4 linked regions of the Arabidopsis thaliana genome follow. The protein of the gene in region 2 binds, or shares a complex with, the protein of the main gene of each other region. Each region holds a gene or a part of one and is shown on either strand. Other genes may lie near its edges.

Region 1 (6,248 bases), on a different chromosome or scaffold from region 2:
TTTATCAAAAATAACCGTGTAGAAGATATACCTGCCATTGCAAAAAATGAAGGTGAAATGCCTTCCTTAGCAAGGACCAACTCAGACTTGGCCGCCTCAGAAGGGTCAGGCTATTTCACCTATTGAATCTTTAAGGTAAATTTTCTACGAGACTACTCTCTCTGGTGCTCGAGCTTTTACCGTGGTGTTTGCAGCCTATCTTATGGGTTTTGAGTGTCTAAAGTGATTTTCTTGATGAGCTTCTTCTCCTCACAGGGACCGGCACAAGATTTACTTGAAGCAGATTTATATTGCCATTGTATGATGCATCCCTACTTAAGGAGTTTCGTGTAAACTGGTCTCACCTATGTTATCTCTATCATTTAAAGTCCAAAAAGAATGAAAAATGTTGTCAATGATGTTTTACATGTTTTATATCAATACTCAGTACATGTTTCATCAAAAATAACAACTTCAAATCTAGTCACTTGAATAAGTACGAACACAAAATTGCTCGATTCTAGTTGTTAGGAGATATCGTCGTCATCATGTTTAGTTGATTATGATGATAAGTAAAACATATGACAACAAAGTTTTGCTAAATATAAAAAGTGAACAAACTCATGAAGTTGGATATCTGTAAATTATTTTTCATAAAAAATAAGTATTTTCAGGACACAACAAAACAGGACAAAGATAAGAAACTTATGAAAATCTACTCCTTTTACTAGGGTTTTAAACCAAAGCATCATCAGAAGAGGAGGCAGCCAAAAAGCCTTCAATAAAGACAGAATGATCCTTGAATCAAACATGATGAAATTGAAACCAATGAGCAGAAAAATCTCTCGTTTAAAGATTAGTCCATGTACCAAACGTGATGAAACCAAAGGAATGACTATTGCAGATGGCGATAAGTGTTTATCCAAGTGCCCACCTCAAACAAAGCAGAGACGTTCTACATACTCTAAACTATTCTACACCGTAAGACAAGTTTCTTCGAAGCCTGCCTGAAAGGTATTAAATACCTGCCAGAGTAGCAAGTGCAACTCCTCGGCCATTTTAAGTTCAAGAAAAGCAAGACCAGCAATCATCAGAGCCGATGAAGTTTTCAAACATAAGAGCATCTAGATGAGAAGCAGAGTAGATGTGAACTAACATAAAGATCCCAAAGCAGGCCGATCAAAATAACCAAGAAGCCAGAAGCAGTTAAGCAATGAAGCAGAAGTAGTGGTAAACAATTATGAAGATCCCAAAGTAGGCAGATCAAAATAACGAAGAAGCGAGAAGCAGATAAGCAATGAAGCAGAAGTTGTGGTAAACTACTATGAAGATCCCATAGCAGGCCGACCAAATTAACCAAGAAGCCAAAAGCAGATAAGCAATGAAGCAGTAGAAACCTGAAGAAACCTCGAGATGATAGAACAAAAAACAAAGAAAATGCATAGGTTTTTAGCAGAGCTTTTGTTTATGTCTTTTAAGAACATGGGTAGATATTTAAAAGTACTTTACCTAACGGCAGATACAACTATGGCTTCATAATCCAAACGCAATAAGAAGCTTTCCAGCAATTCAAAAGTAGCAAGCATATCCAATCCACCACACAGCTAAAACATATTCTCTTAGTGAAATTCACAGATACTAATTTCCTCTCCTCTTGACGTCACAAGCAAATAGTTGTCTCCTGATCCCATAATTTGCTATCTAGACAAGTAACACTCAGCTCCGGCTTCTGCGCACATCTTTCAGACCATTTCTGCATAAACAAATACAAAAACTTATCAGCCACATGGACTCTGTTTTTTAACACAACGTCTAACAAAAAAGTCTTTGGGACGATAATGCCACTAGTTCAGTTTCAATTTCTTATATTGATTGAGATACAGTAGACTCAAGAGCAAGGGGAGTTTTACCCATTAGCATATGGCACCTCGTCACGTGCTCTATAAGGTGGTGGTGACCTACTGTAGTTGCGACCACGAGGAGAAGGACTACGACGTCTTGGAGGAGGAGGAGATCTAGCACGAGGGCTGTAACTTCTGTGAAACCAAAAGACAAGGTAATAAATCAATGAGGTAGACCAATTTCTTTTAGTTGCAAATCGTCAATCAGAAAGAATAGGGACAATAACCTTCGTCCTCCATAGGTAGGACTCTTTCTGTATCTAGGAGGACTGCGACTACGGCTGCGGCTACGACGCCTACCACCAGAACCACCACGAGAACGACATTCACGTGCAAAGTGACCAGACTCACCACACTCATAGCACTTCAAATCAGAACCACCACGTCCACGACCACCATCACCTCCTCCACGACCACCACCACGACCTCCACCACCACCACGGTTATGAGACTGCTCTACCCTCCATCCATTCTTGCCTACCATAACAATATAGATCATATATATATCAAACTCATAACAACTCATAACAACTCATAAAACCAGACCAGTAGAATAGAAGACCAACGAATACCATCTACTTCACGGATGGCGTCACGGGCATCTCTTGAATCTTCAAAATCAAGAAAAGCGTAACCAGGAGGTCTTCTAGCAACCCAGACACTGCACAGACACCAAAAGAACAATGAGGATAAATGCAAATTCACACACTTTACATCAACTAAAAACCAAAAAGGAGTCAATTTATGTACCTCCTGATCACACCAAAGGAACGAAACTCATCCTCGAGTTCACGTTCAGTAACTCGCGGATCCAAATTACCAACATACACACGCGACATCCTCAAGTTACCTATCAACAAAAGGCTTCAATTCAAAAACTTTGAAAGCGATGAATTCAAAAAGATGAAATCTATAGATCGAAACTACGAATGAATCTGGAGTAAAGAAGTGACAACGGAGATCGGGATTTACCTGAAGAAACGGCTTTGGCTCTTTCTCTTGCTCGTCTGTGAGAAATTAGGGTTATCGATTCGAAATTGAAGATGAAAGTTATTTTTTGTGGGTCAACTTTAAATGTCCTTCAAAAGTTATTCCTTGATTTGGGCTTAAAATGGGCCGCATGCGATATGGTACAGTAACAATAATGCCTCATATTCATGCAATTACTGATTATAAAATTAAAATGTCAGATGTTAAATAATAATAATTCAAAATTAAAAAAAAGCTCTCAGCATATAAAAGGAATTCAAAAAAAAAATGAGTATCACTCTTAAGTATTTATACGATTTTCAAAAAAAGTTGATAAAACTTACCGAAAATACAAAAAAAAAAGAAATTGAAATCTACATAAATCCCCAAAAACTACAACACAACACAAGGAGAAAACACTAAGAAAACACAAGCGAAAACTTCACAAGTAGAGATCCTGAGAAAAACACTGTTTCTAAACCCCAAATTGAAATCTCGTCGTAAATTCAAATTTTAATTAAAAAATATAAAGAAAGCTCTTTTCTATGTCCACTGAATATTTTATGTAAATGAAGAAAGCTCTTTTTATGCTCATACTTTTATGTATATACTAACCCATACATCTCAGATGATGAGGATGAGAGAGGAAAATAAAACTTAAGAGGGAGACTATTTGACCCAAAAAAAAAAAAAAAAAAAAAGAGAGAGACTATTACCTCTAGTTTTTGAACTAAGTGAAGAAAACTATTTCGTTCAAATTTTTATTTATAATAATAATTCACTCATTAAGCATCACAAATTAGACAATAGATGCATCAGCCTATTTGTAGGCCTAACCAATCCTCTACTTTATTCATCGGAATCGATCACTAGATATATAGTCGATAGGCAAACAAAGATATAACCATAAAAACCAATTTTGACACTATTATTTATTTGCGTAATGCTAGTAGGTGTGTACAAATGAACATAATTATGACCATGACAACGGCATGGTAACCACTCATGCCTCGAAGTTCACCTTCTGCTACCAACATATTTCCATCACATCATCCTAGCATTATTAAAGAGGCTAAGATACAACCTTTTAGCTCTTCTAATGCTAATAATCCTAGCATCATCCTAGCATTATTAACTGAGTGCATCTTTAGCTCTTCTAATGCTTTTTCTAGAGAAGAAATGGTTTGAATCACCCTTATTTTACTAATAACATATTTGGGTTTAAGATGAGTTTCTAACTTAAAACCAATTGGCAATGAAACTAATCATTTATAAGTATATTACTTGATAATTTTTCTAATTTTCGAGTGTAACTTTCTCTCATTAACAACTAACCATTCGATTATTTTAAGAACTTTGGTTTTGATACGGTTCAGTTTGGTCAGTTATTAAAATTATTGGGTTTTTTTGCCCATGCCTATATCTCCCAAAATCACAATATTCAAATAAAAACTTTTACCACTTGAACCATGGTTCTAGTTTAGAATGGTTTGTTTGGAAAAGACAATAGAGGCTAAATCGTAATTTTGTGCTTTATCACTTATGAGTTTCACTTTTAAATCAGTCACTTAACAAAAACCGGACGTGACAATATATTATGTCCAGATATTAATTTGGGATTAGCCTATAACATCCAATCATTCCCAAGAGCAATGATATAATTTTGTAGTTTTTTATTTACTATTTAGTGCGCACCTTTCTTGAACCAAGACTCCATTCAGTGACAGGATTAGATAAGTATGTGTGTATTATTGAAATGTCGTCGAGAGTCCACTTGAAGTTTGAACTATGACGACAAGAATTATTCCTTTTCTCTTCTTTCTATTCAGATGGAGAGAAGCTCACCTCAAGATTTTTAAAACGGCACTCAATTACGACTTATTTTGAGAAATAATTAATAAAATTTATAAATTATTACGTGCTCTATTTTATAATTTTTCTCTTTTTTATAGGTTTTAAGACATGAAACACTGCTTCTATGTTTTTTTTTTGGTAATCAACACTGCTTCTATGTTTGGTGAAGACATCTTGCAAATGACATTACATAAATCATAGAAATTAGTTTCGATGTTATTCTAATTAAATCCTAAAATATGGACAAAAAAGAGTGATTCTATTGTTCAAAAAGAAAAAGAAGAGTGATTCTAAAATTATAAGCTAAATATCGATTTTAGAATGTACAAGTTGTTCCTACAAATTGCTAAATATTCTTTTAAGAGTGTCCCATTCATATAAAATGTAAGATTTTTGTTAATAAACTAATAACCAGTGGATAAGGGATTTTGTCTTTTCGAACAAAAACGAATGGTGAGCACTAAGAAAAGAGCGAAGTGACTCTATATTCATTCCACCATATTCCCCAAGAATACAATTGGTCAAGAACTTCACAATCACAAATTCACGATCGCTATGTCATCCTTTTAATATTGCTATCATCCCTCTAATTTACTTTCCATTTTTTAAGATCATGAAATTTGAAATGTCACATATACATCCGTTGTAACTTTTTTCTAGTCAGAAAAAAAAACGACTCGTGTTTACCAATTTGGAACAGAATCACACATTTAGAAGGTAAATTTTGGATCGAAAAAACTTTGCATTTTGTTGAAACTCCCATGCAACTTCACAGTTCCAACAAATATCTTTAGAGATTAATATATAGCATTAGAAAACCAACTAAATTTTGCGAAATTACACATCTAAAATTCGCTTGAGAGACTATTTACTTACCAAAAATCATAGAGATTAACGATATTATTTGTGTATTCACATTATAGGAGATTGAGAGATAATGTTATTAACGTTATTAAACTATTAAATTAACAAAAACGTTTTTGTTCAGCGAACGGGAAGGAAGAGGGAAATAGTTTACGTTACCACTAGTTTATGTTGAAACAGTTTTGGCCGAAAAATAGGCCATCATTACCACTATAGGCCATTCCGAAATAGTTTACGTTGTGAAAGTAATATCGTGCCTTATTTAGTACAAAGTTGCCCACTAAACTTACGAAATCGAATATTCCATAGTTACAAAGGTTAAAAAACATATAAAATCATTTACAACCAAGTCCCAAAGTTTTTGTGCTAGAGAAATATTTATTATTTAGGCTTATTTGGTGGTAGATAACCAAAATTAGGTTTATTTGGTAGATAGCCAGAATTTTGAGGTTTACTTGCAAAATATGATAAATTATAAATAATGAGATGTTAATTTCGCGGATTTTTCTTACAAATAACTTAATAATATAAATATTTTTATTTATTTAAGTGTTAAATAATACAATAATTTTTGTTTTGTTTTTCCGCCTAGTAAATAACGACGTACGTTAAAATATTTAAGAGTTCAGTAAGAAAGGGGAAGAAAGCGTGACACAATGTTGTGAATCTCGTGATTATATA
Region 2 (7,879 bases):
TTCATGAAGAACTGTTTTCTAAACTATGTTACCTACAGAAACATCTTCCCCATATGGGCACTTGCAGAGTGGTATGTATATTTATTTTCTTTGAGTGGTATGTACTGTGTGAAGTTGAGGAAAACTCTATTTTTCGTTTTAAATAAAAGTTTGTGCACTCTCATTAAGATGCATGGTTTGATGCAAAATTGTTGTTGTGCATCTTAGGAGCCCTTAAATTATAATTATTTATTTCTCTGAATGAAACAAAAAACCAATTTCTTGTGTATTTGGATCACCAGTCTTTGTATGGATTTCTTTCTCTTTTAACTAAAATAATAAGAAAAGGGTGAAGGAGCCAGCCATTCTTCAACAAGACTGAATATATTAGGGAATTACAACCAGCTAAAAGAACCAAGTCATTATCGTTGCATCTAATGAGGAGATCCACAAAAGAAGATTAAACATCCAAACACTACAAAAACCACAACTCTCATTTGGTCACTGGTAAACATTTTATCTGTTCTAAGAAAAGAGGCTGAGACAGATGATAACGATAAAGATGGAGAAAGAGAGCTACATCAAGACTCAAGTTTTTTTTTTTTTTTTTTTAATTTTTATCACCTTTAAGTTTTACGAGGTGGAGGTGGTGGTGGCGGTGAACTGCTGCTGCTGCTGTTACTGCTGCTTCTTTTTCCTCTCAGTGGCCTAAACATACCCAACAACAACCCATTTTCTTTTATTAGACTTCAACGCAAAAAATTTCTACACAACAATTCTATTTTTCTCTGTTTCATCACCAAACTCACCAAGAAAGTATAGGTCCCAGATGTTTATGCTATGTCTTTTATCAGGAATTGGGGTAACCCTTAACTTTACTATACATAACTTAACATTGGAACTTCTTCAATTAATGCATTCTACAGACTATAAAGTGTTTCCAGTTTAAGACGAGGATTAGTGTTAAGACAGAAAGTGTTTACCTCTTAGGACTGCGGCTCCTTGAAATCTTCCTAGGAATCTGTAAGGTTTAATAATGCACAAATGATAGAAAGTCAAGAGTCAAGACATATAACTCGCAAGGCATCAAAAATTTTATAGCTAAAAAGGGATCTGCAAGAAGCCCTTACCCTTCTGGGACTTGGTGAACTAGAGTAAGAAGATGACCTCCCACGTCTCCCAGCTGGACCTCGTCCCCTGCTTACAGTTAAAGACAAAATTAATTCATGAACAAACCCCAGACGGATCTATATAACTTAGTCATATTGGGTATCAACGTCTCTAGGAGCTGGTATGTCAGAAACCTAGGTAAAAGGATAAGACAATGTAGGATCTTGGGGTATACTCATGAATTATGAAAGACTTAAAAACTTGTTATGAATCAGTCTTAGCTATGCATCTGTAACAAAATAAAACCCACGAGAGAGACCCCAGAAAAAAGTTTAAATGAGTTCCAACATACTTGCGGGGTGAGATGGAACTTGAACGAGAGCGACCAGGCCTACGAATTGGGGATCGGCTACGCCTACGGATTGGAGATCTTCTGGGAGGACTGCGTAGTCTCCTTGGAGGTGGAGACCTGAAACACGCCGAATACAAAACATATATAAAACTGACACATTTTTCCCGGTCTAATTTACTGAGTAATATAGTCTATAAAGCTGTGATTCCTAAACTTCGATTACTAAGGGTGTAATTCAGGTACCAAATAGACATACCTTCGTCTTAGAGGAAGAGGAGACCTTCTTCGAACAGGACTGCCACGAATTCTTCTAGGGGAGCCCCTGCTGACAGATAAAAGGTGAGCTATCGAATCTGAAACACACCAGACAAAACAGATGGTGCCATAACTAACCTTGGAGGAGATCTATATCGTCTTGGAGGGGGAGAAGATGGAGAACGGCCTCTAGATGGTGATGCTGGCCTACGTCTAGGAGGTGTATCACCGCGACGGCGGATAGGAGAGCCCGGCCTCCGGCGATGGGGAGAATCAGGTGATCGCCTTCTAGGTGATAAGCCTCTCCTAGGTAGAGGTGATCGCCTTCTCGGAGAAAGCCCTGTTTTCCGTTGAGGAGATGCTAAGCACATATTGATGATACTAATTAACACAACATAAAGCATATACTACAACAATTATAAATAACCAAAATATAAGGATTTGACATACTCTCTCTTGGGCGCCTGGGACCACCATCTTTCTCAGCGTCAGCAGCAGCATTATCAGATTTTGGAGCATCTCTTTTTGGTGCAGCTGAGACAGGTTTAGGGGGTGAAGATACTTTCTGACGAGGTGGTAGTGTGAACGTTGCTTTAACAACCTTTCCATCAATTTGGGCCTGTGTTCAGTGAACAAAAAAAAAACATGCATAAATCTTCTCTGTCAATATGTCAAGTACAGTGCATTTCATAATTGGAAAGAGACATACACCATCCATGTAGAGCTGAGCTTTCTCAGCATCAGCTCTTGCCTTGAACTCAACATAACCATGTCCTCTTGGAAGATTAACCTGTTAATAATATTCAAAGGAATTATGAGCAGATTTCAACAAGTGATGCAAGTAAACAACAGAGAGTAAAGAGAATAGCAACTTACAGCTCGATCCATCGCAATTTCGACATGTATAACTTCACCAAAGTTGCCTAATAATAACATGAAACCAAGCCATGTTATAAGACTTAACATTTAGCCAACACAAGGAAAACAAAAGACCAGTGATGATCGTAATGCCGTATACACTACTGATGACATTAGCGGACATGTGTAGACAGTTATCATGTAGTAAGATTAGAAGAAGCAGAAGAAACAGAGAAAAGAGAAATCAACATACCAAAGATTTCTTTGAGATGGGCTTCATTCACATTCCTGCTAAGAGAATCAACATGGAGAACAAGAGATTCTTGAACAGCTTTCCTGAAAGCATAAAAGATTGTAAAGTCAGTAATGACGAAAGCATAAACACTAGAATATATTTATGTGAACGAGTCAGATATTACTTGGAAGGTGAAGATGCTCCTTTAGATGGTGGAGGAGGAGGAGAGCGACCTCGCCTAGCAGGTCCAGCAGGACTACACAAGAAGATACATCAGAACATCAATTCGAATTCGAGCTGAACGAACCAAGAAGAATGAAAGCGAAATTACACAAATCCAATTCGAACAATTGGTAAGTGATTGAAAGAAACCCTAACCTTTTTCCACGACGTGGAGGACTGCGACTCCCAGAACTGACGCTTCGCGAAGGAGATGAAGATGAAGAGAGCGATCTAGAACGGGAGCGTGAGCGGGAAATAGACCTGGAGGGGCTCGAACCCGAACGAGATCTGGAACTGGAACGAGATGACGAGCCAGACACGGAGGGGGAACGACGGCCACGACTTGGTTTCGCCATGGGCGAGAGATATCGAGAAAATCGCGAGAAACCTTGCTTCAAAACCCTAGCGGATAAAAAAGATTAGAGGAGAGAGACAGACAGACAGACTGTGACTTTTTTTTTCCAGTCTCCTTTTTTTTTCCGCGGACTGCAAATTAAACCGAAGATGATACGTGGCAGGTTTTTATTTGCTTGATAAATTGAGGGATTTATATGTTTTTTAAAGCATTTTATAAAGTATAAATACCATAATGAGCTCAATTTGTGTCCTTTCCCATTTTTCATATCAGATTTGAATGTGTCACTAATCAAAAGTTCTTCAAATCCTACAGGAAAATTCAAACAGAAAAGCTAGTAACTCCCATAAAAAATTCAACAACTTATAAAATGTTGTAATCGATTGTCTGTGGTCGTGTACACCATCCAATTAGGATCAATTAGATACCATTTTTCTATAGCTCTCTTGTTGTCCCATAATTTGTTGATATTGTTGTTGCCTTGGTACAAACTTAAGAGCAATCTCAAAATCAAAGTATCTTAGATTGAATCTAGTCATTGAATAACACCGAAACCATTAAGGTTTATTCATACATCTATATAGAAGTGTCAAATGGTCATCTGACCATGGGCTAAGCCCAGTCCACAACATTATGGACAGTCCATGGTCGGCCCGTAATGAAAACGGGCTATATGGTCTAAAGACCAATTTTGTCCATGGGTTTAATGGGCTAGCCCACACGGTTTATGGTTGGCCCATCAATTTTTTCAACACATAAATTTTTTTCTCTTCTCTCTCTTTCGGCAACGACGCTCTCTCTCCCGGCGACAAAGCTCTCTCTCGGCGACGACCAAGCTCGACCTCTCTCTCAACTCCTACTCCGGTTAGTTCTACTAGCTTGTGGGTTTGTCCAAAGTTCAATTGTGAATTTTGGATATGAGGAGAGCTAGCTAGCAAATGGGCACTTTTCAGATTTTGTTTATGTTTCGCCATTTCGAATTTCATTATGAATTGAAGCACATCAATATGTAGAGACCCTTTGTGTTGTAAGTTCATGCTTAATTATTCCAGAAGGCTAGTGATTTAGTCAAGTTCATGCTTTATTTGTTTATCACTGCTAAACGTGTGTATGTCTTTATTTGTTTCAGAAATATGGAATTGGATACTCAAAACTTGGTTGATGAAGACAACTTTAATCTTGAGGATCAAGAAATGGACCATGAAGATCCAGAAATGGATCAGATACTACCTCATGAAACTGCTTCTTCAGGGACAGCTGAGAGAGGTAAAAGTAGTGTAAGTAGATTTCGTGCTGCATGCTGGAAAAACTTCGATAGAGGACAGAAATATCCTAATGGGAAAACTGAGGTTACATGCAAATATTGTGAGCAGACTTATCACTTGAATCTGAGACGAAATGGTACTAATACCATGAATCGTCATATGAGATCTTGTGAGAAGACTCCTGGAAGTACACCTAGAATTAGCAGAAAGGTGGATATGATGGTCTTTAGAGAAATGATTGCAGTGGCTTTAGTTCAACATAATCTTCCATATTCGTTTGTCGAATATGAAAGAATTAGAGAAGCCTTTACATATGCTAACCCTTATATAGAATTTTGGAGCAGAAATACTGCAGCTTCTGATGTCTACAAGATTTATGAAAGAGAGAAAATTAAGCTTAAGGAAAAGTTAGCTATAATCCCGGGTAGAATATGCTTAACAACAGATTTGTGGAGAGCTTTAACTGTTGAAAGTTATATTTGCTTAACAGCTCATTATGTAGATGTTGATGGTGTTCTGAAAACGAAGATCTTATCTTTCTGTGCTTTCCCGCCTCCACATTCTGGAGTAGCTATAGCAATGAAGCTTAGTGAGCTGTTGAAAGATTGGGGAATTGAGAAGAAAGTTTTTACTTTAACTGTAGATAATGCTTCTGCAAATGATACTATGCAAAGCATTTTAAAGCATAATGCTTCTGAAAATGCATTCTTATACTTAGTGAGAATTTTGTTTTGTTGGTCATATTTCAGGGGTTTTACTCTTACTTTTCTGAAAGAAATGGAACTGGAAAATCACCATTAGATATGTACTTGGAAGAGCCTGTGTTAGATATGGTCTCTTTTAGAGATATGGATGTTATTGCATATTGGAAAAACAATGTCTCGCGTTTTAAAGAATTGTCATCGATGGCATGTGATATCTTAAGCATTCCGATCACTACCGTGGCATCGGAATCAGCTTTTAGTATAGGTAGTCGTGTGCTTAACAAATATAGAAGCTGCCTTTTACCTACTAATGTGCAAGCCCTCCTATGTACTAGAAACTGGTTTCGTGGATTTCAAGAAGTTGGTAATATTCACATCTTGAACTCGTTTATAATAGTAAACTTATATGGCTTTTGGACTGCAGCTTTTAGATTAATAGCTCGGTTTTTCTTATTGAAGAAACTGATGAGATCCAAGGTCAAGAGGACACAAACACCACCCTTGCATGAACGTTTCAAGACTGGGAAGAAACAAGTACATGGTTGTTCTCTTAAGCTCTGAGCCTATGGTTATGTGTTTATTATTCTCAGTACATGGCTGATTTGATGATGTATGTCTTTGACAGATTGTTATAGGTTGTGATGGTATCCGGTCTAAGGTTGCAACTTGGATGACAGATTTTGGTTTGGAATTGATTCTGGATTTTGTCTCTTACTTATAATCATTTGTGATTGATTACATTGTGGAAATGTTGTTTAAGCTTATTGTTTTACCTAAGCTTATTGAAGATGGCCACTTCTGGTTTCCAATTTCTAGATGTTGGAGTAGTATTGAAATGGGTTTCTCTGTTAAATCATTCTCCATGTAGCCATTGTAGGCTTTTTTCTTTACTTGTAGGTGCATATAGAGAGTCTTAGATGCGTGTTTGAGTTGTCACGGTTGATTACAAGACTGGGAAGAACAGGTACATGCATGTTTGATTTCATGTTGATGTTATGGTTTTATAAATAGAGCTTTTGACGAGATTGTGTGAAAATGCATTGTATATAAACATCATTGTATGGGCTGGCCATGGGCTGACCATTGGACAATGGTCTTTAATGGTCTTGGACAAATTTTTAGACCATTGTCCATTAAAGACCAACCAATAAAACCCATGAAAAAAATGGTCCAAGTGGACATGACCAATGGGCTTTGGACAGCCCAATTGACACTTCTACATCTATATAAACTAATCTGATTTATCATCATAAAACACTTCCAACGCCATTTGGTCCTATTCTTGCAAAACCTTTTACAATCATGAATCATGGTGTTTGAAAATTGTCCATCGTTTTTGCAAGATACAAAGAAGAGGATTCAGATAACATGAACAATATTATTAAAACTAGGCCACAAGGTTGGGGTACAATGTCTTAAACAAATAGTAAAGCCAGAAACTTTAAAGAAGAGAATCAAACCTACTAATTAAGAAAGCAACATACTAATTAAGCTTCAGTGAGATGGAAAAGCCTTCCTACAAATCAGTAGATCATAAAGTCAAAAGCTAATTCTAACTCATTGTCCAGAATGTTGATGGTTCCTGATCCTGCTTGAACGTCTCACAGGTGTTATCATCTCTTTCTCTTCGTGACCACTTCTCTTTTGTATCTTCTCATATGTTGTGAAACTTCCATATGAAACAGAACCTATGGAGTACTCTGATGCAGAGGAAGCCATGGATTCACCGCTATCATTACTCTTCTTGCCTCCTCCTCCGCTTTGATGTTCTTTAAGATCATCTTTCTTGTTGCTGCAGCTGTGTAATGGTTTGTTCTTACTGAAGCTGAAACTCATCTCAGAAGGGAATGATGATACCTCTCTTTTTCTGTCATCACCAACTTCTTCTTCTTCTTCCTTGAAATTCAATGAAGAAAGCCTTTCTCTGATCAGATTCTCTACTGGCACATGCTCGACAACTTTAGTTGCAGAGATTGCTGTTGGTTCGCCATCTTCATGTTGCAGCATCACAGGTTTTGTCTTCTTCTTGGCTAATAGGAAACCAGCTGCTACTGCTGCAAGTATAACCATCATAGTCGAAAACAAGACTAACACTTTCTTCTGGCCACTCAACAAAATGTCCTCCGAACCTGCATCATTAACAACTTCACCAAACCCACTCTCTTCTTCTTCTACTTCATTACCGTCATGTTCAACATCTGTAGCTTCTTCTGAAACACTGAGGCTACCTCCAGCAATTTCCCCAACACCTTCTTCTTCTTGTACAGTTTCAACATTGGCTACTCCGGTTTGTTCTTGCTGGTTACTACTGATTGCAGCAGACTGCACATCGTCAAGCAGTTGTGCGTCGGATTCAGCTTCTTCCATGTTATTCTGGTCATTTTCTTCATATTCTTCCTGCCCTTCAACAACATCAGTTTCTTGGCCACCATGTCCTTCTTCAGAAAGAGATTCTGAATACCTTTCACCTCCGTTCACCTCTGTATCTGTAGCTATCTTGATCTCAGCCTGCTCATCACATTCATCAACAATTTCTAAGTTTAC
Region 3 (8,479 bases), on a different chromosome or scaffold from region 2:
ACTTTTCAACAAAAATGTTCCACAATTTGTATTAAAATATTATAGAGACATCAGTGTTACAGAAAATTAAAAACATTACATATAATGTAGACTATATAGTATAGTATTACTTATGTGATTCCCGTAATTTTCGTTTGAACTTTGGAATCTTTTTAATTAAATTTAGAGCTATTGATACAAAATAAGCAAACAACTACGCAAGATGATTAACATTTTGCAACCTTAGGATTTGCAAATTCTCTGAAAGATGTTGCAACTCAAATACTTACCTGATCAGAAACCTATCAAAATCATTGTTGAAAATTTGTCACTCTTATCTTTCGTGCAAGTCAAAATTAGGGGAAGCCAAGTCAAATTGAGTTCCAACGAGATCAAGATTCCACTATACGCGAAACCATCTTCGTACCAAGAAACAGAGTTTAGCTATACCAACAGAACCAGCTTGACCCTTTAGTTGCAAGTAGAAGGATATGTAAAAACAACATAAAACTGAAAGAAACTTGAATTCATCATGAAGCACAAGTGTGTAGAACAAAGCAGTGAACTATATGAACCTGAAAATTGTTGACTATGGAATTCTAGAGATTCCAACAACAAACCGTCAAGCTTTTACAAGCTAATTTATGAGGAAAGAAAAATGCAGGAGCAGCTTATAAATAAACCTGCATACTAGATCATAGTTTTCAACAAGTCTTCAAGCAACAAAATAAGATGTTCAATCGAAATGCTCTTGAGCTATTAAGCAGCAGCAGCCTCTTTTGCAGAAGATGGAAAAGCATCGGTTTTTGAATACAGCCCGAGTTCCTCCTCGAGTTTCTTCCACGCATTCAAGAAACTCGGAGGGAATTTCTTCTTCACCGTTCTAATCAACCCTTTAGCGTCATCTCTTTTCTTGTTCTCCACCAATCCCACAACCAAATGCTTCAAAGTGTTGAAATCTGGAATCTTGTGCATATACACACTCTTCTTGAAGATCGCATAGCCTTGCTCGTACAATCGGCTATAACAAAGATGAAATATCAATGTCCTAAAAGTAGCTGCGTTGGGAGCACAGTTGTTACCTTCAAGTCCTTCATACACTTTCTTAGCTTCGTCCAACATTCCTCTCTCACAATACGCAGTCATAAGATAGTTATAGCTAATCGTATCAGGTTTCAATCCCATACTACTCATTTCTTCAATCAACTCCTTAACTCTTTCAGGGCTTTCCTTTTGAGCACTCATTATACGAACATTATACGCTGCATTATCCAATTCACAGCCTTTCTTCACCATCTCATTCCACAAGTTATCAGCTACCTCGAGCTCACCTTTCTTATACAATGAACTCAAAATGGTGGTGAAAGCAATGGTAGTAACTTCCATGCCTTTACCTTGCATCTGTCTCATAATCTCAATGGCTTTTTCAGGGGTACCAGAGTCACAGTATGACTTAATCAATATACCGTAAGAGATTTTGTCAGGGATGATCTTATTGTACCTCTGAGGAATTTCGTCGAACAGTTGGGGGACTTTATCGAAATTCTTGGAATGGAGACAAGCGTTGAGCAAGGCGTTGAAGGAAACAGCTGATCTGGGTGTGCCGTATTGATCCATCTGCTCGAAGGTTCTCATGGCGTGATTAAACATAGAGGCTTGGCCGTAAGATCTGATAAGCGTAGAGTAGAAAGGTTCTTCTTTGATTTTGGGATCATTTTTGTGGGATTCAATTAGGGTTTCGATGTCTGAGAAACGGCGACACTTGGCGAGGCGACGAACAGTGAGCTCTTGGGCGTAGCGAGATGAAACAGGAGAGGCTGAGTGATCGGAGACATTGGCGTAGATCTTAAGAGCTTTGTCGGGATCGTGTTCTTTCCGGAGAGTGGACTTAGCTTTGGAGACAGAGATTTTGCCTGAAGAGGGAGCGGTGGTCGTACCGTCAGCGGCGGCTGAGGCAAATCGGCGAACAAGGCGGAGAGAAATACGAGAAGAAGCCATTTTGCAGAAATGGGTATTGTGGAGAGTGGTGGCGAGAAAAGGAGACGCCTTTAGGGTTTTAGTGGCTTAACAGAGATTTTTGGGTTTTACAAGTTTGCTTCTTTTTCTTTCTTTTTTCTTCTATCAGAAGAGAACCAAACTACTTGAATATTTCAATAGAGAGAGTACTCAACTTCTTGTGTTGATTTAGAACATATGTCACATTTACGAGAGACGAATGATGTTTTACGAGGGACTCATGATGTTATTCTGTGAATAATTTTTGAGATAAATATTTAAGAAATAGACCAAAGATATGAGATAAAAACGTTATAATAAGCAACGTGTCGATAATCTCATACTCTTACAATCACGCAAAAGGGTCTTGAAACTGAAGCAAAGTACTTAACTTTTAAGTAATAGAAAGCAAACAAAGAAGTGATCAGGCTCCATAATCACCCTGTTCAAACTTGTCTTCAGGGTAATACACTGCAACGACTTCATTTCCTCCAAATTTCCTACCATTCATCCCGAATCTTGCCCTAGTCGAGCCATCTGTATCGGCATACTTCAAAAACACCTGCACATTAAATATATCAGACAGTCAGATTACGACTAAATAGAAATATACAAGAAGTAGAGAGAAAGAGAGAGAGATAAGTTTACCTTGCCAAGGCCTGCCACTGGCTCACCATTGGGGCTTGGACGCGGAATCACAACATTGGTCAAAGCACCTGCATTTTAAGAGTTAAAGAACAAAACATTTCGAATACAAGACAAGAAAACACAGACAAAAACAAGTCAGTTTTTTCTTTTAAGAAATAGTGGCCATTGGTGATAAATAGATTAGGAGGTTTATGCAGTCTCCTGTCTGTGTATGTTAGGGCTGATTCTTTATAGCAAAAGGCTGTAAAACAGCACAACCAAGAAAACAGAGAGACAGATCAATATGCTTTTAATCTTATATTTCAAAATAGACCATATTGCGCAATTAAGAGGTCTCTTACCAAACTTTCCGCCTTCCTGTCTCATGTCTTCCATTATATCTCCATACTCCTCATCATCTCTAAGCTCATCCTCAGTAACAACTTGAGTCAGACACACCACAGTGGTTGCCACTGCACCAGGCTGTAACATAACCCTCTGCAAAAGATAAAACCATCAATCAGTCTTTTAATCTTATAAATGGAAATATTCAAGTTAGGTCTCAACACGTTTTGCAAGCTCATTTTGTTTTCTTCCAATATTATTAAGAAGAAAAAAAATTACCTGAAAAGCTATTTGCTGCTGTGCATGCAATAATACGTTCTCTTGTTCAGGCTTTTGTAGCATTGTTCCCTGGTTGGCACGTCTCACTGTAAGAGTCTTATCTCCCATCTTGATACCATTTAGGGCAGCGCACGCGATATCTGTAACAGAAAGATCTTGGTACACACAAAAGGCATATCCTTTAGAGTTCCCTGTTTCTCGATCTTTTACAAGATCAAAGCCCTTGAGGCCTCCAAAGGACTCCAACAACTCCCTCACTTGTGATTCCGTGAAGTAATATGGAAGTCCACCAACAAAAATACGATCTGGTCCCTCAAGCCCACCAGAAGCACCTGGAGTCAGACCAACAGCAGCTAAGTTTAGATGGGGACTGGGCTGGCTTGGACCAAGAGTCGCAGCTAGAGATGGGTTATAGTCACTAGGTCTCCTCACCTTCACCGGAGCTCCCTGGAAAAGAAAAAAAGAAAAAGAAAGATAAGCATTCAGTTGGGTAACCTATATACCAAAGAAATGCCAGTACTAAAACTCAACCAAATATTTGGTAGTGCGGTAAACATTAAAACATACCTCAAATATAATCCCATCCAAAGACATAGCGTTACTTGCCTCTTCAACAGATCGCATCTCCACAAAAGCAAACTTCTTCTCGTGGTTTATGTAGACATTAACAACTGCATCACCTGCGAGTAAGAAAAAAGATTTATAAAAAAAGATTAATCCAAGTATCATAATAGACACTCTAGCATCTGCACCAGGATTATGTACCTGGACCAGCAGTGTTTCCACCAACAGCAGCCATAACTTGACTAAAAAATGTAGCCACAGACTGCAAATACAAAATAATAAATCAATGTTAGTATCATTATTTGCTGAAACATATTTCAGTGGGAGAAAATGAAAAAAGAAAGTGGATAATAACCTGTTCATTTGCCGTAGGGGAAAGCCCACCGACATAGACTCTGCGAGCATGTCTAGTTGCCTGAAGACACAAAGTAAATAAGGATTAAATTAGAACAGAGAAATACATAGTATCTTGCGTATATCCATGATAAATAAAATCTAACCTGCTGTGTCATAGCCTGAATTGGCATCATAGAGAGTCCCCCAAATGACTGTAGGACATAGACGACTTAGTTCAAGAAAGACATCAATTAAGAAAATATTAAAAGGGAAAGACCACAGACCTGTCCAGTCGGCAATGGAAACATGTTGGGAAACATTCCAGCCCCAGGAAGAGTTGGTGGAGCGGGAGGAACTTGGCCTACAAAAGAAAAACAGGTTAATACATAAGAAAATTACATATGAGAAAACCTAGTTTACCATCCCTGGAAATGTATTGGTGACATCAAGAGGTTTAAGTCTGCATGGAAAATTTTTGCAAGACTAACAAAACCAGTGATATGTACTGAGGATGAGCAATACCCATACGCAGTAATTCTTCCTTGTATATAAGAGCTAACCAGCCCACACCCAGTGTTGCCTTACCAAAACAGAAAAGCAAACAAGAGACACAAAGACCACCAAACAACCAAAAGCTCTCAGTTCTAGCGTTATGTCCCAAGTAAAAAAAGAAAGAAAACAGCCTATGTTTTTGTAGTTATTCAGGAGAAACAGATTTTATCAATCCCAGTACGTGTATTAGGTATGAATTCTACATTATGCTAATGAGAAGGTGCTAAATTAAAGAGATATACCTGTAACAGCAGCACCAGCAGCTAACATTGCAGAGGCTGGAGGTGCCATATCGAATCCACTGACTCGCTGCTTACTGCAACAACATATATTGAGTGAGGTTAGAAACTTTCTTAGATTGAAGCAATTACTTCATAGAAGAGTAAGTAATCCAATGAGAAAAAAATGCTACCTTTTCGATGGAGATCGTGACCTTGTTCTGCGCTCAGATCTATCCTTTGAACGAGATCGAGATCGACGACTGCGTCTTCCTCCTCTATCATCTCTCCGCCTAGAAGAATAAAAAATAAGCCAAATCAGTACCTTCCATAAAATCAAAAAGGATTCAATCTAAATTGAAAATGTATAATTCAATTCAAGAACAGTCTACCTATCATGGTCACGATCACGGCTTCGACGGTAATCATCATCATCCCTACCACCACGTTCTCTTCTTTCACCACGCTCCCTGCTATGATCCCTGTGACGACTACTTCTGTGATGACGCTCACGATGATCTCTGTCTTTGTCTCTACTCCTCTCCTTGCTTTTCTCTCCATCTCTATCCCTGCTTCGGCGAGAGACTTCAGAGTCTCTTTCTCTGTCCTTATCACGACCCTTCTCTCTTTCTCTATCTTTACTTCTTGATGTCTCTCTTTCATGGTCACGCGATTCTCTCTGCACATGTAAACACACCCAAAACCTCATCAATTACAGTTTAAGAATCAATGAAACAGAAGCAGCTTTAAAACTAATCATCTCATAATTCGATTCTCAATTCAATCCAATTGCTAGGAAATATAGATTCGAAACTCCAACTATAAGCTAGGAGATTGAAGATAATCAGGGGGGAAATTACCTTGGGTTTCGAGTCCAATTGATCCTCGATTTCGCCGTCGCGGCCACCATTCTCTTCGTCGTAAATCGCGTCAGCAACCGTACCGTTTCCCTCGTGATCTTCGAATTCAGACATCTTTTCGCCGGAATCAACGCTCTCTATCTCTTTCTCACCGGAGATAAATTTAGAATCTGTTTCAGCCGTCGAGATTCGAAGAAAGGGGTGGATGCAGAAACCAAACTATTTTAGGGCAATTACGGATTATTCTATTTTTTTATAGCCAACACGGGACCTCCTGTGAGGGTATTTTTGTAAATGTCATATAAAAACAGGCCGGTCCAAATCTGATAAGGCCCATTATTCAGCGCATCCGGTCCAATAGTTGGCCCAATTCGTGTTTGGGATAAATCTACTTTTTGAGAGTTTTATGAATTTGCCTTTTCAAGATATGGCCCAATCTGTGTTTGAGATAAATTTGCCTTTTATTCCAATATCTCTTGCAACAACAAGAGAACAGAGCATGGGAAGTTGATTGCATTATCTACGACTCCTCCGTTATCACCATTCAAAACTTTAATATGCCGAAGCTATAGCAAGAGGGTTACAAATACATTATACAATTGTAAACCAAATGACATAAGTTAGCAAGTACGACTACTACTACAAGTGTATAATAAACCACAGAGTTATCAATAACAAGAAGTAACGTCGTCACTCAACAGTCTCTCGGAAATATTTACTTATTTCTCATTTACCATCTACAAAGATTTAAACAAAACAAAACATTATACAAACACAATACAACTTTAAACATGGCAACAACAAAAACAATGCAAAAGTACATTAACAAATAAACAAGACTATGGAAAAAAAAAGTTACAAGAGAGGTCAGAACCAAAGTTCTAACCACTAACAACAAACCAAACACACTCTTGACGTACGTTGGCCTTCTCTTTTACTCCTCCGGCTTAACTCTCCTCTTCACCTTCCATTTCCCATTCTTTCTCCATCGGTAGTTGCCGTTCCCTAAGTTCTTCTTCTTGTGGTGGTTGTTGAGGTGGCCACCGCTTCTTCTCTTCTTCTTCTTCACGTTTCCTCCTCTCTTCCTCTTCTCTCTTCGCCTCTTCTTCTTCTTTCTTCCTTTCATCATGTCTCCTCTTCCTCTCATCATCTATTTTCTTCCTCTCTATCTCCACCTTAAGCTTCTCTATCTCTCCTTCCGCACAAGAATGACATTCCAAGATAACAGCTTCCTTCTGAGCTCCCAACAATCCATCAATCGTCACACTACTCACATTAAGCGATGCAGCCAATACTTGCCGGTCAAGCATCCGCAAAGCCGAGTCCTCCCCGGCTAAGAACTGCGGCTCGTTATTCTTAGCTGAAGTAGTAAACCCAACGAACACTAACGAGTCATTGTTGAAAGACATTTGAGCCATTGGATGTAACCGTGGAACTGCGAAAATATCTCCTTCCTCTACTTTAAACCTCACGTTCTTACACTCTGATGATGTGTTTGATGATATCGAAGACCTAAGAACCCTAACCATTCCTGCTCCTTTCAATACAATCGAAATCTCGCAAGCCCATGGATTCCAGTGCGGTCCCATCATCGATCCTTGAGTGAGATTCACCATGGAAACTCCAACCATTGAGCCTTTTAAAACTTTCAGATCCTTCCTGTTAATCGTTATAGTACGACCGTAGGGGCTCTCGAAATCCGGTTCAGATTCGAAAACATTGAATGTCTTCGCTTTCTTCACCTTCTCCTTCTTCTCTTTCTTCTCTTTCTTCTTCTTGTTATCCACCAAGTCTGCACTTCCAGCAAAGAGCTTTAGTAATCGCGGTTGGAGCTGCCAAGTGTTGGCCACACCTGGTGTGCAAAGCGTCTCACTCACGATCAATGGTGGCTTCGTACGGTTCCTCATCAGCTCTATAATCCCCTCAGGAACCTAATTAAAACCATTGAATTTAATATATCACTTAATACAACCCAAAATATCCTCTACTAGAGTAAGTTGGGAAGTAAGATATACACAATTCCTATCTTGCTTCCCAAGTAAGATATAGACAATTCGTAACTTATTCATCGGCAGATTAAGACATACCCCAAAAGCTGACTGGAGAATTGTCTCATCAAAACCAAACATTAGATCTGTGATACTCGAATAGGCACCAAAGCAAGGATCCTGCATCCATGGAATACAGATACAATAAGAAGAAGAAAAAGATGTCAAGAAAGTGAAAAAAGAAAGAATCATATCAAACTTATACATGTAAACACTCATCGTTGTTGGAGAAGATTGCGTAAAGCTTAAGTTTGGTTCCAAGGAAGATATCCACCGGTTTGCTCTGTAAGTAGAAAACCGAACCGGGACGTAGCCTGTAAACGTCTCCTAGTCTGATCTCGGTACTCTTCGCTTCCTCGTCAACCCAATTCAGAATCCCACTTCCTATACAAATCACAATCCAATTTTGACCTAAACCGAAACTGATCTGTAAACCAAACCGAAGAAATTTAAACAGTTTATTATGTACCAGAGTCAACGAAGAAGACCATGTCGGAATGAAGAAGAAGAGGGAGCAAAATTGTGTTTGGCTCCAACGTTATGGAATGTATCTTGTAAGGTCCCATTCCACCGCATCCATTGCCGATTTGAACGGTTGAGATCTGTCCAAACTTCGTCTCGAAGATTGGTTTCCATTGATCTTTCTTAATCAGAAGAGGAGACGAAAACCCGCAAC
Region 4 (7,623 bases), about 15 Mb from region 2:
ACGAATTGGTGATAGTTGTGTCCACGGTATAGCTTTCGGCTCACCTGGTTAAGAAAAAAGAACTAATCATTAGATGCATCTAAACAAAATCTATTACAATTTGATGATCACATTATTTTTACCTGTAGTTCCAGATGAGAAGAGAATGTTAATCACAGACTCTACAGGTAGATAAATCGGACGATAGTAGTTCTCTCCACTGCAAGCAAAATTGGAGCATGTCTTATCTACACTCTCTGAGTGATTGCAAGTGTAGAGATGTAAACAATTTACCTAGAATGGGGTTTGGCGTTGGAAAGAAAATCCATCCATGATACATCCTGTTCTCTTAACTGAACATGCAATTCAGTACCTGAAGCCGGGAGGACAATGACCTTAGATGGAGCAGCTTCAACCACTCGACTACAGGAAAAAAAAAGAGACAAGTTTAGATATAATTATTATGTTGTTCATTCATTGAGTTGCAAAATCAGCCACAGAAAGATCAATTTTGTCACCTGTATAAAGGAAACCTTCGACCTCCTCTGAGTATATAATCCTGAAAACGCAATAAGAGATATTTCACATGGTACGGGATAGATACAAGGCGAAAAGATGTGAGTCAGGGTGTGTCACAAACCTGAGTGAATATGCCTTTTGCCTTCGAAATTTTCAACCTTGTTGCTATTTCTTTAGCTGCAAAGCTGTCTGCGATGGAGACAACAATGCAACCAGCTAATATGATTGCGAGATATATAATCACTGCATCAACTGTCATTGGCATATCGATTGCAATTGTGTCACCCTTTTCAAAACTTCCACTTATCGCATTTGCCACCAACCTTTTCAAGTAAATGTATCAAGACCACCACTGGAAGCTTAATAATGAGATCACACAACAGAATGACTGATAAAGAGTTTCATCTTACATACATTACTTGCTCCCGAAGCTCTTTAATGGTCATTCTATTGACTGGAGAGTCATCAAACCCTTCATTACGCCATACAACAGCCACACTATCATCCTCCTTTTTGGGATGGCTTGAAGGCATCAGACAACACTCAGCGATATTAAGAACTGCATCAGGGAGCCAAGTCCCTTCAGGTTTTGATTTGTTAAGGATACACCTCGGAGGAGTGTGAAACACAAGTGAAAGCTCATCGATAACAAATGACCAATAAACCTGAAAATGATGTTTACATTAGACCAAACCAGAGCTGCGACAAAGATTCTTTTGCTCGACAACATTCAACGTTGATGCTTACTTCAGGGTGTTCAACTGAGAATCTCCGGAAAAGTTCAAAACTTTCAAGAGGGTTCTTGTATGAAGGACCAAGAAGTCTTGGTCCGTGATATTCCATCAGCTTCCCCAGATTGGTGGACTTTGACTGAGATCTAAACACACACAAAGAAGAAATTGAACAGACAATCAGCTGTATTTTACAGATAAATATCAGAATTTCGAACAAGTTCATGAAACGCACAGAGAAGGAAACCAATAGAGAGGAGGGCCATGAACAGAGGAGTCCCAGTTTGAATAGACAGAGTAGTAGAGAAGCTGATGCAGAGGATGTGGATGCCATGGCTTAAGCACACTCTCATCTACCAAAGCTTTCCATTGATCTCTTGGATCAGTCTCTATAGCCTTTGTAATCACATCGCTCACCAATTTGTCAAATTCCTTGGCGTCTTCCAAAGTCAACCCAGCTTTGACATAATCATCGCAACTCAATTCGCCTATGCTCTTCCACATCTCTTTCTATCTCTCTATACAAGTTGTTGCCTTTTTTATAGTTTAAAGTTTAAAGCTTGTCAATGGTGGTAGACTGGTAGGTAGATTCGGTGGACGAGAATGCTCCAAATGGCGATTTGTTTTGCTTTTAAAACAGAAAAGGTCTCATCTTTATGAAGAAAACCCAACTCCTCAGTTAACATCGGACCATACTCTTTGGCTCTGCTGAGTTCTTGATTCATCAAAGAAACCAATTCTATTCAGAATAGCAATTAACGTTAGTATTACCAAAACGATGACATGTTCAAAACGACGGCGAAGCCATCCGTCTTCCGCCCAGTGCAACATATCCAAAACGCGGCTTTTGATGTGATTAATGGATCTCTTGAAAATGCTTTGGTTGATACGACGGATAACAAAAACTAGAGCTGATATATTCGCAAGTAATCCAAAAAGCTTCCTCCATGAGCTCCTTGTGTGGTTGACCAATGTTGCAACTATCATAATAACCTCAGATTATATCTTAAAGAACTTATAATAACAGTACCATGTTCCCCACATGTTCCATAGATCAAAACATAAAAACCCAAAACATAAAGTTCTCGGCTTTTCAGTATCATCTTAACTTCGTCTTAGGATAAGGGTACAAGACACAACCATAATCTAGAGAAGACTAGCAAAAGAGTGACGAATCAATCACTGGCTTGGTGAACGGTCTTCGTCATACTGGCCCCCATGCGGGCTTTGGCTCCTGCTTCTGGCGGGTTCAGGAGTGTAGCTTCTTCTGCTTCTCCTCGGACTCCTGCTTCTTCTAGGGCTACGGCTTATGCTTCTTCTTGGGCTAACGCTCCTATTTCTTTTTGGGCTTGGGCTCCTGCTTCTTCTTGGGCTACGGCTTATGCTTCTTCTAGGGCTGGGGCTTAAGCTGCGGCTCTTACCTCTGACTGGAGTTAAACTGCGACCCCTTGAGCCATCAGAGGCAGGTGAGCGCGAGTATGACCTCCTCCCATCATATCGCTCTTCCCTGGGCGAGATAGATCTGTGACAATAGACAGTGAGCATACAAGCGTGGAGAAGTTTGTAATTGAGCTTAGACAGAAACATATAGAAACCTTGGGTGATGTCTTCTAGGGGGAGGAGAATAATAGTCACCGCTCCGTGACCGAGATCTACCACGTCGAGGGGGAGGAGAACGAGAGCGAGAGTAGTAACGAGGTGGAGTACGTCTTCTATCCCGAAATCTGCTGCTCCAACGAACCAAAAAAAGATGTTAAATATTGAGTTTTTGATATTTGACAATAACCAAAATAGTTCAAAAAGAGAAAGATTCATGCACCTTCCTCCACCACGCTCCCTTGCTCTCATTTCAGTCGGTTTCTTTCTGTTCTCTTCTGCAAACACGACAGTCAACTCACGGCCAAGAAGAAGATAACCATCCATGTGATGTTTTGCATCAGCAGCATCAGCAGGGTCCATAAATTGAACGAACCCAAACCCTCGCGGATCTCTGCATTCAAAATGTAGAACAAAAAGATCTCAGACTAGAAACCAAACATACAAAATGGCGAGGAAGATGTACCACTTTATAACAATCCTGTTGAAGGACAACTGGCGATATGATCCCCTGCAACCGAAGATATCAGTAAACATGAAAAAAGCAAGCACTTGCCTGCTAGCCTTGCAAGTGTCAGTACAAAGATGACTTCTTGAAGACTTGATTCATCTTCACATAGAATACAAACTCAACTTCACTTCAATTCTTCACTACCATATAGAACATCTTCATAAGAACTCTAATTACTTCTTTGATGTCTTCAATTCTTTAGATTCACTGCTAAACCTCAACAACTTCAATTAACTCACTCATAGTGTGTTCAGACATGGAACATATCATCATGTATCCTTTTCCTTAAGCGACTAAAAACTATGAGGTCTCACCAGGTACTAAATTCTAAACGACTAATCCACCTAACGACACCGAAAACTAGTGGTTTAAGACCACAAGTATGCTCACTGTCTATTGTCATGTCACAGAAAATTACTATCTGAAAAATATGGAGCCTAAATTTAATTTATGAAATCAGTTTTTAAGAAGATTCTCATAAGGCCCTAGTATCCATGAGAAGACACAAAGAGATGACCGAAAGAAAAAGGAAAGGCAGATAAACGTAGTAAACAAATCAAGAAAGAAGATGTGAAAATAGGGATATTTTCTAATCAGAACATAAGTAAAAATCAAGTGTTGGTTGTCCTATTTACAAAACATGCTCACCCGGTATAATAATCCCTTGGCAGGTAAATGTCCTTGACAGGACCAAACTGCTCAAACGACTTCCTGAGATCTTCTTGCCTGAAGAAAAGGACAAGGAGTAAGAAGAGAATTACAATTTGCTAAAAGCCAAGAAATGAAGATACATTGACGTCAACTTTTTGAAAACCTTTACAGTAAAGATAAGAGAACATCATGCCAAAATATGCTAAGAGGTGTCAAGTCTTCTTGCTTAAGAGGTGTGCAAACAATAACATCATCCACAATGGCTGAAGAAAATAATAGAGAAGTCAAAAGTATGTACCTGCAATCATGGCGTAGATTGCGAACCAAAAGACTGGTCGGGAGGTCCCTGCTACGACCTCCATATCGGCCTCTAGGGCTTGGGCTTCGACCCCTCCTCCCATAACCCCTAGGTGGTGACGGAGTGTAGCTCCTTCCCCTCATTGAGTCAAGCTTCAATCTCTCTATCAGTCAGTCAACACAAACTAGATTAGAAAATACACCAAAAGAGGTTGGATATTTAAGAGAGAAGAGACCACAAACACAAGAGCTATAACACCAGCGTCTAAGAGAACTTTAAAGAAGCAATCAATCTAGAAAGATCATATTTTCTAATTGAATAGTAAATTATATCAAAATAAGATCACATGCAATTCAGGTAGAGATCGAATCAGCTCAATTTCAAAAGATAGGAGCTAAGAAACGTTATATGTGAATAGGCACAAAAGATCACAACTTTCGTCAAACTTACTTAAGATGAACGATTCAATCCTTTATATCGATGTATAGACATAATAATTGCCTGATCTACAGTTTTTTCCGTCACGGGATCTTTCACCGGACTCAAAAAGTTGTACGGGCAACGAAGTTGTTTACAATTGAAGGAATCGAAGTCGGAAAAGCCAAGTTTATTCGACAGAGAAAGAAGAAGATACGGGTATATACGGTTGGGAAGAAGAGCAAAATATCAGGGATAAGACTTACCGGTGAACGAATCTCGGTGGTGAGGAACGACGGAGAAGTGATGCTGCAAGAATTGGAGAAGATTGATCAATGAACGACTTATTTATTAGGGTTTCTTTATATTATTTACGTTTTACATTTAACCCCCTCAAAATTATTTTAAAGTATTAAAATCCCCTTAAAGTTTTCTATTTGATAGATGCTCCATTCCAATTTCTGGTAATTAAATTATCTTCCTTTTTATTATCATTATACATTTATACTTAGTGAGATCAATTATCTAAGAGGAACTAAAAATGTAAAATTCAATAGAATTAAATAGCAAATTGGTGATTTTTCACCAATTGTTGGGTTCTGTTTGTACCTTTTATAATTATTTTGGTCAAAACATAAATCTTGAAACCTTTAGGGAGGGAAATAAAATAATAAATTGTTAAAAGGATACTTCTAGAAGGTTTATCTTATAATGTCTCTCTCTCTCTCTCTCTCTCTCTCTCTCTCTAACATAACAAAGAATTCGTGTTTCAGTTCAATAGATTCTCGTCTCTTTTCGACTTACGACATCAACAGACCGAAGTATACGTATTCGATACGATCTGCGTTCGCGAATTCACGTTTCTGGATTGATTAAGAAGAAGAATTCAAGTCAAGCTGTTGGTATCTACAATGGAAGAACAGTTCATACTTAGGGTTCCACCGTCTGTTTCAGAACGAATTGATCGGCTTTTAAGCGAGGATGCTTCTACTTCCGACGAAATCCCTTTGGATTTGTTTTTTTCAGGTACCAATTTTTAAAGGGTTTCTCTCTTTTTTGGCACATTACATCTGGGTTAAAGTTTCATCCTTTTTCTTAAATTTATGTCCTTTAGTCGTCAATCAATGAAATTAGTGTCTGGATCGTTTCGGGGATTGCTCCTTGTGTCACGTGATGAGTTCTTGAATGTTGGTTTGCCCAAAAGACATTCTTGAATCTGATTAAGGATCAAAGCTTGTGATTTGTGTCTCCTGGATCAGCTTAATGTTGTGAATTGTCTGTTTTGTCAAAGAAGCCAAAAGACATTCTTGTTGCATCATTATAGTTTGTCTAGAAATCCATTTGCATATTGTCTCTGGAGCAAACTTGATACGTAATGTTTGTGTGAACTGAATTTGCAGAGGATGGGAGAAACGGGACGTTTATGATTGGAAACGACGAGTTCCCGGCTTCTCTGCTTGATCTCCCTGCAGTTGTTGAGTCTTTTAAAACTTATGATGATTGTGCATTAGTCAAAACTGCTGATATTGGGCAGGTAAAATCAAGTTACTTGATTCATCTTTTACTTATATGCGTTAACTTCTGTAATTTTGGACTAAAACTCAATATGGATGCTTTGATTTGGCACACAGATGATCATGGTTAGGGAGCCTGGTGATCCTGCGCCTAATACAGTTGAATACAGACATGGTCTAACTCCTCCAATGAAGGATGCTCGAAAGAGGAGATTTCGTCGAGAGCCTGACCTTAATGTAATTTTCATTTGTTGTTATCTATCCATCAACATTGTTTCACTAATACTTGTGATTATGATTGAAAGTCTGTAGTGAAACGTATCTTTTGGAACTCCAAAGTTCTTTCTATTAAGTTAACATATTGATTTGCCAAAATGTTGCAGCCGGAGCTTGTACAGCGGGTTGAGAGAGACTTGTTGAATATATTGAGTGGCGGAACGGTAGAAAATGTAAGCTTTTCTTTCTATTTTCGACACATGATGTGTCTATATTTGCTCCTTGGATTTAGTAACTTCATTTATTTGAACTTTTTTTGGTGTAGGTACATGAGCAAGAGGAACCAGCTACGAACGAGAATGCTAGTAATGCAAGTAAGAAAGTATCTTCTTCTTCACCTACACCTGTTGAAAAGCCTGAAGCTCCTGAGACAGGCACTAGTAATCCAACAGGAGTTGAACCGGAGAGAAGTGAATCAGAAGATTCTGATGATTCAATGTGAGTTTATTATTATATAAAGAGATTTTTCTTACGAAAGCTTAGAGTTTGCGCAAGTCCTGTCTTAGAAAATCATGGATAATTATGTCCCCATGATTTGATGATGTCTTGTTCGACCTTTTTCAATGGAAAAGTTGTTTTGCGTTCAAACTACACCAAAGATTCTGTTTATTCTAGTTCAATTTCGGTTATTTCTTGAAGACAGTTTCAGGAATGAACCAAAGATTGATAGTAAAAGAAAAACCTTAGACTTAAAGAACAAGAACCAAGACATTGTTGATGCTAAACCTATCAAAAGCTGGAATCTAATCCAAACACCAACCATCGCCTTCATTAAACTTTAAGGTTTTTCTTCCGGGTCATTTTCTACAATGCCAAGAATAAGAAAAGAAAATTGACACTCTGCCTAGAAATTGAGATTCTAATTATCGGTCCCTCCATTTTCTATCCTGAATAGTGAATACGTGCAACCATGTCTACCTTTCATTACATACACAATTATGAATTATGTCATTTTTCAAACAAAACAACCCGAAGCTAAAACAAATGTGTAGAGCCTCGTAAGTAGTTGCCGTCACGATCTTCCTCTTCATCTTCTTCGTGTTCTTTCTATAAATTCTTTTTAGTCTTTGTATCAAGAAGCTTCCACAGCTTTTATAAACACTCATTGAGAAGAAAGAAAAACGTCAAGGG

What was found.
Region 1: SR45 (region 2) and RSZ22a share a complex: the UniProt entries of both Arabidopsis thaliana proteins name them as parts of the spliceosome.
Region 3: SR45 (region 2) and ATU2AF65A share a complex: the UniProt entries of both Arabidopsis thaliana proteins name them as parts of the spliceosome.
Region 4: SR45 (region 2) and SCL33 share a complex: the UniProt entries of both Arabidopsis thaliana proteins name them as parts of the spliceosome.

What each region holds. Positions count from the first base shown.
Region 1 is NC_003071.7:10,446,308-10,452,555, reverse strand, and holds RSZ22a (RNA recognition motif and CCHC-type zinc finger domains containing protein), read right to left. Parts: upstream 2,926-6,248; 5' UTR 2,853-2,925; intron 2,731-2,852; 5' UTR 2,720-2,730; coding exon 2,631-2,719; intron 2,542-2,630; coding exon 2,453-2,541; intron 2,358-2,452; coding exon 2,108-2,357; intron 2,016-2,107; coding exon 1,890-2,015; intron 1,733-1,889; coding exon 1,696-1,732; 3' UTR 1,372-1,695; downstream 1-1,371. Other genes in the region: AT2G24600 (Ankyrin repeat family protein), read left to right, coding at 1-126. UniProt on the Arabidopsis thaliana protein: Probably involved in intron recognition and spliceosome assembly.
Region 2 is NC_003070.9:5,675,320-5,683,198, forward strand, and holds SR45 (arginine/serine-rich 45), read right to left. Parts: upstream 3,534-7,879; 5' UTR 3,368-3,533; coding exon 3,168-3,367; intron 3,046-3,167; coding exon 2,974-3,045; intron 2,891-2,973; coding exon 2,808-2,890; intron 2,620-2,807; coding exon 2,573-2,619; intron 2,487-2,572; coding exon 2,406-2,486; intron 2,316-2,405; coding exon 2,147-2,315; intron 2,058-2,146; coding exon 1,835-2,057; intron 1,764-1,834; coding exon 1,698-1,763; intron 1,559-1,697; coding exon 1,409-1,558; intron 1,177-1,408; coding exon 1,110-1,176; intron 1,001-1,109; coding exon 963-1,000; coding exon of another isoform or gene 959-962; exon of another isoform or gene 868-958; coding exon of another isoform or gene 858-867; exon of another isoform or gene 688-857; coding exon 606-687; 3' UTR 529-605; downstream 1-528. Other genes in the region: AT1G16630 (uncharacterized protein), read right to left, coding at 6,893-7,879. UniProt on the Arabidopsis thaliana protein: Involved in 5' and 3' splicing site selection of introns, and may bridge the 5' and 3' components of the spliceosome. Isoform 1 is required during flower petal development and isoform 2 is involved in root growth.
Region 3 is NC_003075.7:17,291,741-17,300,219, forward strand, and holds ATU2AF65A (U2 snRNP auxilliary factor, large subunit, splicing factor), read right to left. Parts: upstream 5,989-8,479; 5' UTR 5,870-5,988; coding exon 5,756-5,869; intron 5,575-5,755; coding exon 5,288-5,574; intron 5,189-5,287; coding exon 5,090-5,188; intron 4,994-5,089; coding exon 4,920-4,993; intron 4,487-4,919; coding exon 4,410-4,486; intron 4,338-4,409; coding exon 4,290-4,337; intron 4,205-4,289; coding exon 4,145-4,204; intron 4,052-4,144; coding exon 3,991-4,051; intron 3,906-3,990; coding exon 3,793-3,905; intron 3,673-3,792; coding exon 3,226-3,672; intron 3,100-3,225; coding exon 2,964-3,099; coding exon of another isoform or gene 2,691-2,963; coding exon 2,623-2,690; intron 2,537-2,622; coding exon 2,399-2,536; 3' UTR 2,207-2,398; downstream 1-2,206. Other genes in the region: AT4G36680 (Tetratricopeptide repeat (TPR)-like superfamily protein), read right to left, coding at 739-1,977; AT4G36700 (RmlC-like cupins superfamily protein), read right to left, coding at 6,703-7,686, 7,843-7,923, 8,009-8,187, 8,273-8,479. UniProt on the Arabidopsis thaliana protein: Necessary for the splicing of pre-mRNA.
Region 4 is NC_003070.9:20,627,481-20,635,103, reverse strand, and holds SCL33 (SC35-like splicing factor 33), read right to left. Parts: upstream 5,035-7,623; 5' UTR 4,969-5,034; exon of another isoform or gene 4,736-4,968; intron 4,449-4,735; 5' UTR 4,429-4,448; coding exon 4,286-4,428; intron 4,063-4,285; coding exon 3,985-4,062; exon of another isoform or gene 3,418-3,984; coding exon 3,382-3,417; exon of another isoform or gene 3,220-3,381; coding exon 3,049-3,219; intron 2,957-3,048; coding exon of another isoform or gene 2,954-2,956; coding exon 2,825-2,953; intron 2,752-2,824; coding exon 2,409-2,751; 3' UTR 2,131-2,408; downstream 1-2,130. Other genes in the region: AAE18 (acyl-activating enzyme 18), read right to left, coding at 1-44, 123-199, 274-402, 498-538, 620-821, 913-1,163, 1,246-1,375, 1,465-1,733; TAF7 (TBP-associated factor 7), read left to right, coding at 5,614-5,728, 6,103-6,236, 6,334-6,453, 6,600-6,950. UniProt on the Arabidopsis thaliana protein: Involved in intron recognition and spliceosome assembly. Binds to multiple 5'-GAAG-3' repeats found in its third intron, suggesting autoregulation of alternative splicing. May be necessary for accurate splicing of the 3' region of introns.